Linked DNA regions of Styela clava. The protein of the gene in region 1 interacts with the protein of each later gene in a pairwise test. Links are inferred from orthologs where the notes say so. Each region holds a gene or a part of one and is shown on either strand. Other genes may lie near its edges. The genes, in order: Golgi to ER traffic protein 4 homolog and ATPase GET3-like.

Region 1 (7,910 bases):
GGGAGAGTAATATTACTATGGAAAGCCCAACTGATATTTTTCACCTGCTTTTTCAATTCTGCTATCACTGTAATAATGACGTTTTCAGAATTACATATAAATATTTGACCATTATGTCACGACAAATTTTCTTTGAATTTATAAATATTCATTGAAGATAATTTTTTCTGTTTGAAAGTAATGTAATATTGGTCTCCTATATTTCTCGCAGTATTGGATTGGTGAGATAACTTTTTTTTAATAAAATACAAACAGACGTTACGTCAGTGAATATCGTTACCTCATTGCGGCTCCGGGATCAGCTGTCATTTGATTTGTAACAAACACGGCAACGTTGTATTCTAAAAAAAAAATAGGAAGATTGGTAAAAGTCATCTAATTTAAAAATACTACTACTCTAGTCAATACGGAATAAAGGTGTGTATAAGCTACGCAATATCTGTAACTTGTGACTATTTTGTTTTCAAATCGCAAAGATATATAACAGAAAGAGTCTGCCATTGTTGTGCATTTATCAAATACACTGCTGTGTCACTCAAAACTGTGGAATTGTAGTACCAATTAAAACCACGATCAAGAAATTTAACAATGAAATACACCGCATTCGCCACACGATGTAAAAAATATCGACAAAAGCGACGAAGTTATCAGGGTGGGCAAACCACCGATTTCATCTTACCTTCAGATATTTTTTGCAATCTCGATAACATTTGAGCCAACTTTTGTTGTCGATCTGCAAGCTCTCCTCTACCACTAAAATCGACACGAAATAGTGCCATGATTGAGTCCACGATCTGTAAAAAAGATTATACTTTACAAAAGAAAAAGCTTGTCACTAGTTACGCGGTATGCCAAGTTTACGTAATAGATTTTTCGCTGTGCATGGATTTGTCCGTTTTGATAAAAAAATCTATACCAGCAATTTGAAAATTCCAGCTTCTTCATGAAATTTTGCGGCAACGTGGTCAAGGAGTTCCATCTGATGCTCACCTGTAAGTAAGATAAAGTGGTCATTGAAGAGCCAGTCAATCGAATCTATAAATATAAACTATACAAGGAAAATGTCAGGGACGTGGCATTGGCACGCAAGTATGTTGGAAATTTTTTACATTATTTTATGAACCTATACTGCTACCGTGTTTCCCCAAAAATAAGACCTAGCCTGAATTTAAAAAAAGATTTTAATATAAGCCCTCCCCCTTGAATAAGACCTAGTCAACATCGCGATTTTTTTTTATCTATAGTCAATAGCAAGAAATCTATGTTTTGCAGTTATTTTAAATAAAAACGTGTTATTTATAAGTAAATGGATATCGGTTTTCATAATTCGTAATTCTCTACTTTGTAATTTTGTTTTTGATAAATGAAAATATAAGACCTCTCCCGAAAATAGGCCCCCAGTGTTATTTTTCAGAAGAATGATAAATTTACAAGAGCGATAAATCGGAACAAATATCACTGCCGAACAAACCTTGGTTTCACACGCGAATCAAATCATATCGGACATGTCCTACTCGCCGAAAGATTCATAATGTAATGAAAATAAATACATACTTGTGTAAGCCCTAGCATACAAGACGTTGTCCAAGACAGCAGCTTGATCCAGATTGAAACGATCGGCAATAGGTCGAAGTCTATCAGGACGAAATGTATTTTCCGTGTCGATGAAAACAACTTTTCCTCCTGTGTATCCCATCGCTCCTGGCATTTGTGTTGTAACTAAAAAAGAAAAATGTAATAATAGTAAATCATATAATATTAATAACTGAATATGGTGATAAACATTACCGGCGAACTAATTTAATATATAAAATAAATAAATGGGCAAATTATACCGGAATTAGATTTTATATAAAACGGACTGGACATACCACACAGTGTATGTGAAATTTGTGTTTTTCCTGTGCGAAATTCTCCAAAAACTTCAGTAATGGCCATACTCTCTACACCTCCTCCTAGAAGTTTGCTGAATAAAAGAAAAAAAATTAATACATAGATAACGCCGGCTTCAGGCATGATTGGATGTTGTACTGGTGACGAGACTTTTTCGACTAAATTTCGGTGATTGTCACAAACCTTTAACTACTAATAATTATAATAAGGTGTGTTATTGTTTCATGATAATACTGATCAGAAGATAATTTTTATCTGAACTTGCTGTCTTTTGAAATAGGCTGATGCCTACATATAACACAGTGGCGTAGCCGGAGATCTTCAAAGGGGGGGGGGGGGGGGCTTCTGAAATTAGAATTTTTTAAGTTTGATCGAAACAGCTAGCGAGTCCGGAGAACGTGTGTTTTCGTGAGTCTTGAGAGGTTTAAGCGTTGTATGATACAGAAAGATGATTTTATTTTAATTTAATTTCAAAGGGGGGCAAAACCAATCTACGGCTACGCCCCTGCATAACATATAGTTAATAAATAACTTTGAGACATAAGTTCACTTACTCTAAGTCTTCGCTTCCAGTTGAAATCTTGAAGCATTGCTTTCTCTTCATACTGAAGTTGAGAGCAGACATAAACCCAGAATCCTAAATTTCGTAAATATTTTGCGCTACCAAAATTTTATAAACCAGCCGGGGATGGTATCACCAGATTACGCTTGATCTATATTTCGAAGGTATATTATCGGCTTTGATGTGATATTTGAATATTGTAATGGAATAGGAGAAGAAAAAAATTGCGAGAAATTCAAACTACGGACTTCAATATTCACGCAAATTGTAGCCAATGAAATGAGAAATATTTTCGATTCGATATCCGTCTGTATCAAAGCACTTTATCGTAATAGGGCGTGGAAACAGTGTCCCAAACATGACCTGGTGATACGCGCCAGCTGGACAAATAACAATAAAACCTCTCATCTACAATTGCCATCTTTGAAGCCGCCTCCTTGATTTTTTCAACTTTTGCTTCGGAGATTCCTTTGATGTTAGAAAGAGCCTTTTTCGTAGTCATTTGAACGCCTTTTATTGTGCATATTCCCGCTGCTTTGAGCTTTTTCAAATCTGCCGCATTCTGAAGTTCAATAAAACGAAGATCAAACTGAGCGTTTAATTGCCATTTGTCATACATACATTTATTACTACATACATACATGTAGTAATAAACAATTTTGGAAAAACTAATGGTGTTTAATATGCAAATGACATTACATTGAATCTGGGAATTAGGTAACATGCAAAAATACTGCATCTGAAACGAATACCTGTTCCCATACCCGACATATACAGATAACCGGACAAGATGTTTTCCCGTTTCGTTTTCCCGGACTAAATACGGAAATCATATTATATAGCTCTGATATTTTCGAAAATAACGGAAGCTGTAATAGCCTCAAATAGACATAAATGAGAGTTGAATTCCAGCGTAAATAACGACTAATTTGAATCGATTGGGGTAAATGTTGAAAATAATTGAAACGTCATGAACATGGCAAAAGTTAGATCTTCGTTATCAGGCTTGAAAAATATAAAAAATAGTTAAAAACAAGATTGTCATTTTTTAAAATTCCGTTTCAAATGTTTATCAACTTACGATGCCTTGATCCTGTAGCATATCAATATCTTGGAATGTAGCTTCCTGTAATTAAAATTGGACTTGTTAATTGATCGGAAATTGCGATGCCATACAAGCTATGATAGTAATTGATCTCACATTTGGAATTAGATGGAATGAATATTACTTTTGGAAATGTGTATAACCAAACTAGTCAAGCTTAGTTTACCCAGACTACTTTACTTCAGATGGTTTGGCAGGATGTCAGTCAGTCAGTCAGTAGTTTATTTTATCACATACAAAAAGTACACAATGGACAAACATAGATACGAAGGATATAAAAAAATACGTTTCAGCGTGAAAGGAGACGCGATAAACCAGGGATGGTTATCGAGCAGCGTCACCTACAAGGGAGTGAATCTAAAATTAAATCATACAAAGAAAAAAAAAGTCAAACATAAGATACTAACAAAAGTCGTAAATAATAAGACACAGTGATGGATGGATAAAAGTCTTTAAAAGAATTTATGTATTAGATTGAGTTACGCTCGTAGCGTCAATTTCCTTTCCCTTATGGGGATATTGCTTTTGAACTGCACAGATTTCCTATGACATGAAATGCGGAAAATATTGTATTTCTAACCAAACCTACCGGCACTTCTGCAACTATCTTATAACTTACCTCTCCATCACTGAAGTCTTCTGCATTCGAATCTACTACTTTTTGTTGTTGCATCGCGACGTTAATATTTATAATAAAGTGCAAATGCTTTATGAAGAATAGTAGAAAAACTATGGGCGAATGACAAAGCGAATATTCAGACCAGGAAGAGCGGAAAAGCGACGAAGTCGTCTGGTGACATTAGTTGCCAGAATAAATTTTGAAATGAATTACTTGCATTCAAAATGACGGACTTACAATGTCTAGCAAACCATGCATTTTATGTATAACTATTCCTTTTTCTAACAATTATAAAAATCTTTTCATTTTTTCAAAAATAGAAAAGAAATAAAAATATAGTCCAGTATTAATCTTCAAAATTATGATATCATTAATATAGATGCTCCGGTTGAACAAATTCTCCACATGTTTTGTTTTGATATTCTATGATTTTTACGATATAAATAAACTAAATTTTAGAATTTACCTTTAAAAAATATTTAAATGAGGAAACTGATTTAGGATAAATCATTTTTATTGTTATTTTCAACCATGCTATTGCAATTACAACGCACGGTTTATTGTGGGACTCTACGCACTTCAGAAAAGAAAACGAGCTGCCGAATTTGTTTTTCGATTTGTTCCTCATTGCGACTTCGTTTCTTCATTCCCGAATTTATTGATTGTATGTGTGCACTGATGAACAGCCCTGTCAATTGATTTCCTTCCGCCGTTGGGCGATAAATACGTTTCTGGATTATTTTCATAGCCTAAATCAGAAAGACAGTCAAAATCAACACGTCGGCCAAACGCTCAACACCTGTTTTTGAAGAGCCCACTAATAAGCGTCAGAAAGTCATGGCATCCCATACTGGGGGACGAGGGGGAGTGGGCCGCGTTGAAAAAAAGTTGGAAGCAAGTATTCAAAATGGAAATTACTATGAAGCTCATCAGATGTACAGAACTCTTTTTTCCAGGTGAATGTGGTTTTATTTTCTAAATTCTCAAACGCAATGTTTGTCAGTTATTATATCTGTAGTCTATATTCAGATATTGTAGTATTAGGTTACAGGGTTTTAACTATTTTTGGCAGACCCTGCAGACAAAACGGTATATGAATTCATCTAACATTCTAACTCTGAATTTAGACAATGTTTTTTCATTTTCTATCTTTCACAGTTTCAGTATTTGTTTTACTATTATTTTTGCTACATGTTATAAAACATTCATGCACCATAGTACATCATAAGTGTCGAAATCAAGATGTTGATATCGAGAAAGTGTGGTTATTAGAAAGTATAATTATCATAACTATTTTTCAGATATATGGCGCAAAACAGGCATAAAGAAGTTCAGAATTTAATGCAAGCTGGGGCTTTTTTGTTCTTTTCGAAGAATGAGGTAAGAAAACATTATTATCATTGTCAAAATCACTTTTGTGCCATTCAGGTTATCAGGAGTATGTCAAAGTGTGACGAAGCGTTCTTGTTGCGGTTCAATAATGTTTGTCGTTTATGACTGTTTTTAAAATTTACAGAGTGGCAGTGGAGTTGATTTATCCTTGCTTCTATTAGATTCGTTGGAATCCGCTAAAGCTCCAGTGACTGAAGAGCTGATTGGTAATTATTATCACATAGGATAGGAATAGGATTTACATATTTATCCCAAGGAGAAGAAACCCGATAAGACGGCTTATCCATATGGCGAACCACGGCCTCTCGTCCGGTTACCATTCCAAGTCGGGTATGGGATTAGTTTTACTGTATTGTTTGTTTTCGGAAGCATGGACTTGGTGGTGGAGGAAGCCGTAACCAACCAGCGGTTACGTGAACCACCCAACGCACATAACCATCCCTGCATGGGATTCGAACCTGCGAACCCACGCAGAGTAATTAGAGGTGCGGTGGCGAGCGTATTCCTAACGCTTAGCCCGTTGAGCCACACCGCCGCGTATCGTTTATTTAGTTTGACAGAACAGAAAATTATTTGGGTATAGGCATCTTTACTTGGAGCTGTGTCAGGGGTTATAGCTAGTTTGATTCCATGTTTTATTTTACTCGAGGATTTGTGAATTACCCGAGATTTTTTTCAATCAGGCGCTCATTCACGCCTTTTGCTTCAAACATGACCTTATACCAGCAACCAATGATATAATTCAGAAGGACCGGAATCTTTTCGAAATTTTCGCAATTCAGCATTTCTTACATAGACACCTTGGGTGGAGTGGGGGCTTTGGGATTTGAACTATAGATATATCATCATAATTCTTTGAACACAAAAATGCAGAAAATAATTTGCAGTTGTGTTGAAAGGGATTCAAATTAAAAAAAAATATGCAATTTGTAAAGGTTTTTTCATTCATTACTGATATGCTATATTAGTTAACAAACTTCTCGTTTTGCAGTAACAATCGGGAATCTTCATAAGAACATTGGTGTATCTCATCCACAGTTATCAAATTTTGAAGTGAAAGCGATTACATGGTCAACACATACTGATGGTGTTCCTAAAACAGGCCATGCAAAAATAAGGCATGCGTTTGCTCATAATCTATGGAAAGGTAATTCGTATTTTTTACGCACATATATCGTTAATGTAGTATTGACCAAAAATGTTACTAGTATTTTGTCAACTGCCATCTGCTATTTTTATTACATAGCTCATAGCGCATCAGTAATACTTGCATAATGCTATTCTTTCTATTATACCCCACTTCTGATTACTCCACTTTTGTTTGCTCGTTCGAATTTTGTGGGGGATAATTATGTGCGAGAGCCGAGAAGGAGGTTCAAGTAATCATCGGTTACGGCTTACGTCTTCCTCCACCATCAAGTCCATGCATCTGAAAACAAACAACTGAATACCTAAACCCCTTACCCGACATGGACTGGTAACTGGACGTGAAGCCATGGTTCACCCTATGATTAAGCCGTCTAATCCTTTCCTTTCCACCAGGATAAATATGTGAATCCTAACTTCCAGCTGAAGGCATGATATATTTCTTTATGGAAACTTGTGTATAAAATAGTATTATTACAATTTACAACCTTTTTCTTTACTCTAGTTTTTAGTAAGTAATCTTCCGTTCAATACTGAGTAAGAAAATCTATTTTTATTTCTATTTATAGAAAAATTGTATGGCGAAGCCAGACAGCATTTCTTATATTCAAATGATGGAGTAGGATCTGGTGAAATGTTAGTTGAATTCTCAGTCCAGCATGGGAAGAAAGAAGAAGATGATCTTTTTATAGCACAATTCGTTTTACAGTGAGATATAATGTATTTTACTTGTTTTTTACTCAAATTTTAATTTTTCGCTCAAGCTAAATTTATTTCAAAATAAAACGACTATTCTCCTTCTTTATTAAAAGTTATATTTAAAACAGGTTATTGTGCATTCAAGCGAAACAACCAGCTAGTGATGCGTTTAATACATACACAGAGAAACATCCGAGATGTGGAAAGAAATGGCCATTCACGATTCCTCTTCTTAATTTCTTATTTTTTCTTCTCTCAGCTGTTGAAACGTAAGTCGTTAGTTTTTGTTCGTAGTTTCACATCGGTTCATATTTCAGCAGCTGTAGCTTGAGTTAGCAGATATTAATGAATAATTTAATTATTAAATAATTGCCTAATTAAATAATTTAGTAACCGTTAGGCGTTAGCCTACTATCAGTATTTTTGCATTCCATATACAACTATTCAATAAGTACAGGAGTCAGAGTACAAGTTGCAAGTATCACAAGCAAATG
Region 2 (7,950 bases), on another chromosome or scaffold:
TTTGTTTAGCGCATCACCGCATGGGATCCTCTCCGCTCCAGCTAAAACAACATGCCTCTGCCACGACAACTGGATCTTGACTTAACCCACTCGACTTTGGAAACTGACTATACAAACAAACGGAATCGAGAAGAAACATCTTCCTCTGAATCCTCGTTTGCACCACTCTGGAACTGAAACTAATTGGAAAGAAGAAAAAATGATCGACCACAATAACCCACCATAAATAGTAGCTCCCATCGTATGTATAAAACGCTCGTGAACTAGTCCGGATGTGAAGACCCTAGTACAGGGGTGGCCAACCTTTCACATACCATGCGCCGTAAATCTCTTGTATTCCCACGCCTAATGTCCGCGTCTTGTTGAAATTATATAAATCTATGATACACACACATATATACACACGTATATGTAGTTTTTACAATTTACAACTTCACATGAATAGAAATTAAGCAAGGAAGTATAATGAATAAAACTGATCAATTTTAAGTACCGCCTTTATGAGACTTTTGCTGCTGTTTTACTTTCGCCAGTTTTTTTATTCTTGGAGTTAAGTTTGTTACTGAGAGGAGCAGTGCATTCTTCAAATTTAAATCTGTAAGTCTTGACCTCGCTTTGCTTTGAATTAGTTTCATGGCAGAAAATGTTTGTTCACATCTATATGTCGTTCCGAAACGACATATAAAACCCTGGTCAAATTTTCTCAGTTCTGGAAAATTTTCACGGGGTAACGATTGCCAGAACTTGATCATGTCAGATGCACTTGGGACCGAAGAAAGCTCATCAAATTGAATTTTCAATGATGGATGAGTTTTCAAGTCAATTAGTTCCAATTGTATATTGCTTGGCATCTTCATTATGGTTAGTTCACTAAGTGAAAATGGGTTTATAAAAGCAAGTATAGAGTCTTCTTCTTTTGAAATATCATGAAAACGACTTTCAAATAACTCTTGCAATAACTTGATTTTTTTCTGTGTATATTGCCAAATTGCCATTACCAGCAGCACATTCACGGTGTTCTTTTATGTGAGGTACGATTAAGAAGTAAAGTTAGGCGTAATATTGTGACAACAGGCCCTTAGTATCAATCTCTACTCCACTCTACCCTCGATTCTAATTGGCCTTTGCTAATCAGCTATTTGGCCTAGCGTCGCGTGATTTGACTCCAGGGGCTTCTTCGAGATTAGTACCTGCGTCACAGCAAGCGATTTTACGCTTTGCTTTTGTTGACAATGGTCATTTGAAATTTAGATGGAAAAGGTGGTATTTAGGGGTCATTTTCAGCATGTTGTGGGTTGATTTATAAGAGATTTTTTAGGCTTGGGCAATTCAACTGGTTGTTCAATGGTTATTGGGAGATATTTGGGAAGTCTGGGCAATGGAAAATCCATGTTTCAAGCTGATAAATGACGATTTTCTATTTTTCCAGAAGTTCTGAACTTTTTACTTCAGTAGGGAAAAAATAGTAAATTTTACTAATTTTTGCTAAAAGTCTAGAATGAATGTCATCAAGTCCATCCAAAAGCTAACGTCGATAATCGCCTGTTGTTTCTAATTCCAACAAGTCGTAAGTGGGCGACGTGGAGTAAGAAGAATAGGTTTTAGGTACAATCAAAAGTCACCATGTAAATCGCAAAAAAACGGCTTGGCGTGGAGAAGCCAAGTGCAATTAACAATTTTGGCATGAAAAGGGTTAAAGATGCAATGCGCCACCTCTAATCATGCGATGCGCCACGTTTGGCGCATGCGCCATAGGTATGCCACCCCTGCCCTAGTAGAACACTAAGTTCAACTCCACAACAACGAGAATCAACAAATACTAGGAAGGCATCGCGTCACAAACTTCAACTATTGGAAATACACCGATCAATCCGCCATCAAAAGGAGAAGGTTGTGTGAAGGTAAAGGTACACGATCTTGAATCCCGGGACTTAACCACTTGAACCCGGCAAGCCGGTTTACCGGCTTGTTTGAGTACGCTCTGTGCCCCGGCAAGCCGGTTTACCGGCTTGTTTTTCGTGTCGGAAGGAATCGACTTTATGATCTCGTATCTCAAGAACCACAATGAGTATTAAAAAAAAGCTTGTTATTGGGACTAATTATATTGTAAATATCGGTGCTCTAATATACGATGTTGCAGTAAAATTGGCAATTTGAAAGTGCGTATGAAATTATTGTATGATAACAAATATTTAATATAAAGAATTTCGACTTCTTGCCTGAATAGCCAAATATTCAATCGGCAATATATATGGAGAATTTGAATAGCTTTTTATATACGTATTCAAAACGATTTTACGATGAGCCATCCAAATTTTATGGCCAAATATATTAGATTATCTGTAGATTTACCAGCGACGCTGCGTCAAAATGATGTTCTCATTGAAGAGAGGCTACGTCTCGTCACGCACAACTTTACGTATATTACGCAAATGCAACTAAACGTGACGATATCCGCAATGACGTTACGTCGAGATGTTATTATTTAAATGTCCGTAGGGAGTAATTAATTAACCCGATGCTACGCATTCAAAATTCGCACTACGCTTTGTCTTTGACTGCCCGCTCAAGCCCCATTAAGTTGTGGTTACGTATACGCAATATGAACAAGATTGTGATTTTATTAGCAAATAACGGAACAATAAAGATCATGAAAAATGTATGTACATAAAAGACTGCTTGATAAAATATTTTGAATTGAATATTGCACTTTGTTGTGCCCGGAACAATGAAGAACATGAAAATATTATGCAGATAAAAGACACATTCTAAATCCAATATTGCACTTTGTTTGCCAGTTATACCCATGGTTGTTGGTTTCGTTACCTATATATAGGTACTCATTACAGTATTTGTACTTATATACTGTCTCGCATCGTCTCAGCAACGCTTTGTCTTTAGCAGCTGGATTGGTTTTTTGGCAATAATGTGAATTTTGCTGCATACGACGCATCTATTATCAGAACTGGCGTTTTGCGGTAGGGTATCTAGTTCTGGCGACGCATATGATCTTTTGGAATAAGAGTTGCTCTTTCTGCATTATTAGTTCTCTCGGATATTGATCCACTTGCTTCGCCTAACATTCGTACAATCAGATATTTTGATCTGCAGAGCAGGCAAGTACTTATTTTGGTTGATATTTGAACAAATACTGATGGGCGAAAAAAACCATTTACACGTGAAATTTTACACTGAAACTAATTGGAAAGAAGAATAAACGATAGACTACAATAACCCACCATAAATTGCAGCTCAGATCGTATGTATGAAACGCTCGGAAATCTCTCTTTTTACTAAGATAATACCATCCAATATATAGCGGATGTGATGAGAGGAAGTTTATGTGGTGTGGTGATATTTTCTTGGCAAGGAAAATGATCGGTATAAAATCACACTTCCGTCGATACACTCTGGGCTGGATTCCAGGTGTATCGATCTGATCCGTATTAGTGGTAAAAAAAATAAGGGAAGGCTTATATTAAAATTTCAGTTATACATTTCATCTCATGGATCAATCTGCCCGTAAATATATACTGATATATGCGCGTCGGGCGCACTGATAAACGACGTCAGAGCGTTTCCGAAGCGCCTGTTGGCGCCTGGCGGGCACTACGATCTTCCCGTATCAGCGAAAGTGACTATAATAAAGTGTTATAGTCACTTTGGATCCAGCGACTGCTGGATTGGCGAATGGCGATGGTAGACTTAGGAAGTAGGTACAGAAGTACGAATATCACTCTGTTCAATTTTTTGTTCAGGCTCCACACTCTCATAGTGCATAGATTAAGAGGCGAAGCCATGTTGCGATTTTCAGATTGTCGCTTTCATTAGTTTTAAATTTTATTTTTCGCTATCCAAACGTACCGGTACCGGTACCGTAGCTACGGATGCAGTGATTACCGGTACCGGTATGTGATGTGTCAGAACCAGGTCATACCCGAAATATCGGACTGGTAAAATTAGAAGGGGCTATGGTTTGCTAGATCATTGATAACCAAACTATTTGGCTTTTTTTTTCCCTGGTTACTATGAGAATACAATTTTTGCCAGATAAAAATGAGCCTAATTTACATAGTGCTGTAGTGAGGTAGCAAATTTTGCCATCTTCCACTACAATTGGCCAAACTATATGGCCAATGTCTGGTTGTGGAAACTACAAAGACAATTTGTAGGAAGTAAAACAATTTATGGAAATCGTTCATATTGTATTTTTAATTGAAGAGGTGAAGTTTTCCCTGTGTTCTCTGTGATGCGCCATATCACTCATGTGTAATAAAATATTTTTCCATGTTTGGGCACGATGGTCTATTGGAAAAGCATTGGACTTAAATATGCTGGTGTTGCAGGTTGCGTATCTTTAGGCTAGTTCAAATCCCATGCCCACCAACTCTCCCAAAGCGTAATAAATTGACGAAGCAATGCAAAACCAGAGAGATTCCGAGCCTTTAAAACTAGTAGATCTCTACATTTCGTTAGATATCGGTGGCTGATTGTAAGGCCTCGTTCTTAGCGAAAGATACAAATAAGTGTACTGAAAATATGCCATTCTGCGAAATAATCAGTTAATGTAGTCACATTTTACTTTTTACTTATCGATCTTAAGGTAAGTATATTGATAGGTATTTGTCTGTCTGTCTGTCTGTGTGTGTGTCTGTTAGATGCACGCGATATCTCACGAAAGCGAGATTGAATCTGCTCCAGATTTTGCATGTGCATTCATCTTATCTCGGACCAGAAGCCTATTGATTTTGGGCGAATCATGTCGTATAATTAGCGAGTTATCAATCAATTATTGATATAGTGATCTAGATTTTTGTAAAGCGAGAGAATTTTGAAACCCGCCGAGTGTGTGTGTGCGATGCGCAGTGCGCAAGTTACAAGAGCGGATGAATCGAAACTGCAGTTTCTGTTTTGGGGGATCCCCTAACTATCGATCGATAAGTCTTCGGTTTCCAACCGATATTCTCGTGTTACATATTGATATGTTCTCATTAATGTTACAGAAAGTAAATCAGTAAATCATTACTAGAAATATGGAAGAACAATTTTATGATGCAGAAGATGATCTTGAACCACTTACCCCAACATTAGAAAACATTGTTAATGAGAAAAGCCTTAAGTGGATTTTTGTTGGTGGTAAAGGAGGTGTTGGAAAAACAACATGCAGTTGCAGTCTTGCCGTTGAATTGTCAAAAGTTCGTGATCTTGTGTTGATCATATCCACAGATCCAGCTCACAATGTTTCTGATGCATTCAATCAAAAATTTTCTAAAGTTCCGACAAAAGTAACCGGCTTTGACAACTTATTTGCAATGGAAATTGATCCAAATCTTGGTACAGCTGAACTTCCTGATGAATTTGCCGAAGACGAAGATAGTTTCCTTGGTATGGGGAAACAACTAATGAAGGAAATGTTTGCTGCATTTCCTGGCATTGATGAAGCTGTCAGCTATGCTGAAGTTATGAGGCTCGTAAGAAGCATGAATTTTGATGTTGTTGTTTTTGACACTGCTCCAACTGGTCATACCCTGCGACTTCTCAATTTTCCTGACATGGTTGAAAAGGGTTTGGGAAAGCTACTTAAAGTTAAAAATAAATTAAGTCCTCTTGTTTCACAAATGGGAAAATTTATTGGACTTGGAGATGAAGTAAATACAGAAAGCATTGCAGGGAAAATTGAGGATATTTTACCGACAATAAGAGAAGTTAATAAGCAATTTAAAGACGTAACCATGACTACATTTGTTTGTGTTTGCATTGCGGAATTTTTATCACTTTATGAGACTGAACGTCTTGTTCAAGACTTGGCAAAAATTGGGATAGATACCCATAATATTATTGTCAACCAACTTTTATCCCAGACCCAAGAGAAACCATGTAAGTTGTGTGAATCCAGACGCAAACTACAAGCAAAATATCTTGACCAAATTGAAGATTTGTATGAAGATTTTCACATTATAAAAATGCCTTTACTTGAATCTGAAGTTCGAGGAATTGAAAAAGTTGAGAACTTCTCACAATATCTAATCAAACAACATCCAAACTTCCAGAAAGATTAAAATCTGTTACAATTTATTATCAGAATGTCGAACATTTTAATGTCACATACTTGTATCCCATTTGAAATTTGGAGCACCTGTCATTGGCGCTTCAAACAGCTTTATTAAGATTGCAGTATATGTGATACTTAGTTTTAGGCATTCATGCTGCATCTTTCTTACTTTCCGAATCCTGTATTATTCAATCAATGACAGATGTAATTTTGATGCAAAATTTGGAATATGGGATGACATTTTTATTTGTAATTGAACATGATTGACATTATTTTGTCTTATGGCAATTATGCTGTTCTTCAGTGGAAATATTTCCCACAGTGCCATAAGTTTTGATAACAAATACACTGATACTACTGTGAATTGAGAGATGGTGATAAATACTGTATGTATGCTTTCGGTGAAGTATGTATCAATAGGAAATGAACTCGTGTTATTATAAACTTTCAGTAATAGTATGTGATTGCTTTGTAGTATGGGCTATAGATGATGTGAACAATGTTTGTAAATTTTATTTGTCGAAGGTTATCTATGTGATGTGTTGAAATTGTGTAAATTTTTATGTTCTGAGTTGGACCAACTATTACTTTCTAATGTTTTTCTGGACTTTCTTCTTTTATCCGGACTGAAAATTTGTGCCAATCAAGTTTCCTGTAGAAATATAGGTTTGATAGTTTTTTATCAAGTCGCCAGAATGTCACAATAATATCTTGAAAAACAAACCCCACTTGAGTACACAACCTTGGCTTTAGCTAGTATGTCAGTGAAAAATCTTGTCACATTCTTTTATAATTGTGTTAAGTCTAGTTAAACTTAAATCATAGAGCATTGTAATTTTAGTTATAGCTTGATCTCGTTTTTAAGAGATGCTTATAGTTCTGCTATCACTTTTTAATTTTGATTCTGAAGCACTTTTAAGAATTAAAGAAAATCGTGCTAAATCTAAATTGAAATACTGCCAGTTGTCGTTCCGAGAAATGTTTTATTTTTTCAATTTGTATACAGTCATAGTATGTTCTCTTGAAGTATGCATTATATGTCGTAGCAGACTCAATTTGAGAATAATTGTGATCAAAATATCTATTGTTATTGTGCATATTATAAATCAAAATATAGATCATTTTGCTTGGAATAATTTTGTCTTGTTATTTTAGAATTTATCTTATAATGTCATTAAGATGTATAAGGTGAAATAATGGTTGCAACCAGGAGGAGTCACAGTTTGGACAATAATGTCGGTAGTAAAAGAAAAGGAATTATTCATGGACGTCGAAGTAATATAAGGAAACATCCCAATTCCGCAAATAAATCTTTTCGAGCTACAAAACAGCAACGTGACTCGGTAATTATTTTAAATTTATGTTTGACTCACTGAGATTGGATAGAAAAAGTTAGCAATGAATTAACCCAGGGTATGCGGAGCTGATTTGGAATCGCATTGGCTCCAGATTTGGGAGACCGGTACTGTGTCTATAGCTCTGGCACCAGAGCATCGTCTTTTTTTATCATGTATTTGGCCCGGGATCCTTAGCCATGGATGTTTATTTTTGTGAAGTGGGACTCGCAACCATGACACGAGGGTTTCAAATTTCAAATAAACTCAATTTCACAGATTGATCCTGAAACTTTTAATTATTATTAGAAATTTAATATTAAAAAAAGATAAACTATAAACTCAGGTTCCGGCTCTAGCTTTTTTCTATTATGTTAAGCTTGGCTCCAGGACTAACAAAGCGTCACAGATTTGGCTACCTAGCCCTCTGTGTATCTCACTGCAACTTTTTGGGTTTTTGATTAGCTTTTTGTGGTCATTGCAACACTTTTTCTTCTTGTGCTTGTGCTTCTTTTAATCTTCATCAATCTTGTGGTTATTTACTGTAGTTTATTTAAATCTCAA

What was found.
Region 2: the proteins of Golgi to ER traffic protein 4 homolog (region 1) and ATPase GET3-like interact in a two-hybrid assay, tested with the Caenorhabditis elegans proteins (2 studies listed by BioGRID). The link is inferred for Styela clava from reciprocal best matches to the Caenorhabditis elegans genes cee-1 and asna-1.

What each region holds. Positions count from the first base shown.
Region 1 is NC_135259.1:14,902,049-14,909,958, reverse strand, and holds the start of Golgi to ER traffic protein 4 homolog, read left to right. Parts: upstream 1-4,751; 5' UTR 4,752-5,016; coding exon 5,017-5,135; intron 5,136-5,480; coding exon 5,481-5,559; intron 5,560-5,695; coding exon 5,696-5,777; intron 5,778-6,562; coding exon 6,563-6,718; intron 6,719-7,286; coding exon 7,287-7,425; intron 7,426-7,544; coding exon 7,545-7,685; intron 7,686-7,910. Other genes in the region: meiotic recombination protein DMC1/LIM15 homolog, read right to left, coding at 281-341, 680-794, 917-990, 1,555-1,719, 1,872-1,966, 2,448-2,530, 2,868-3,017, 3,537-3,581 and 1 more.
Region 2 is NC_135257.1:15,085,492-15,093,441, forward strand, and holds ATPase GET3-like, read left to right. Parts: upstream 1-4,985; 5' UTR 4,986-5,033; coding exon 5,034-6,059; 3' UTR 6,060-7,209; downstream 7,210-7,950. Other genes in the region: ATPase family AAA domain-containing protein 2B-like, read left to right, coding at 7,249-7,395. UniProt on the Caenorhabditis elegans protein: ATPase required for the post-translational delivery of tail-anchored (TA) proteins to the endoplasmic reticulum. Recognizes and selectively binds the transmembrane domain of TA proteins in the cytosol.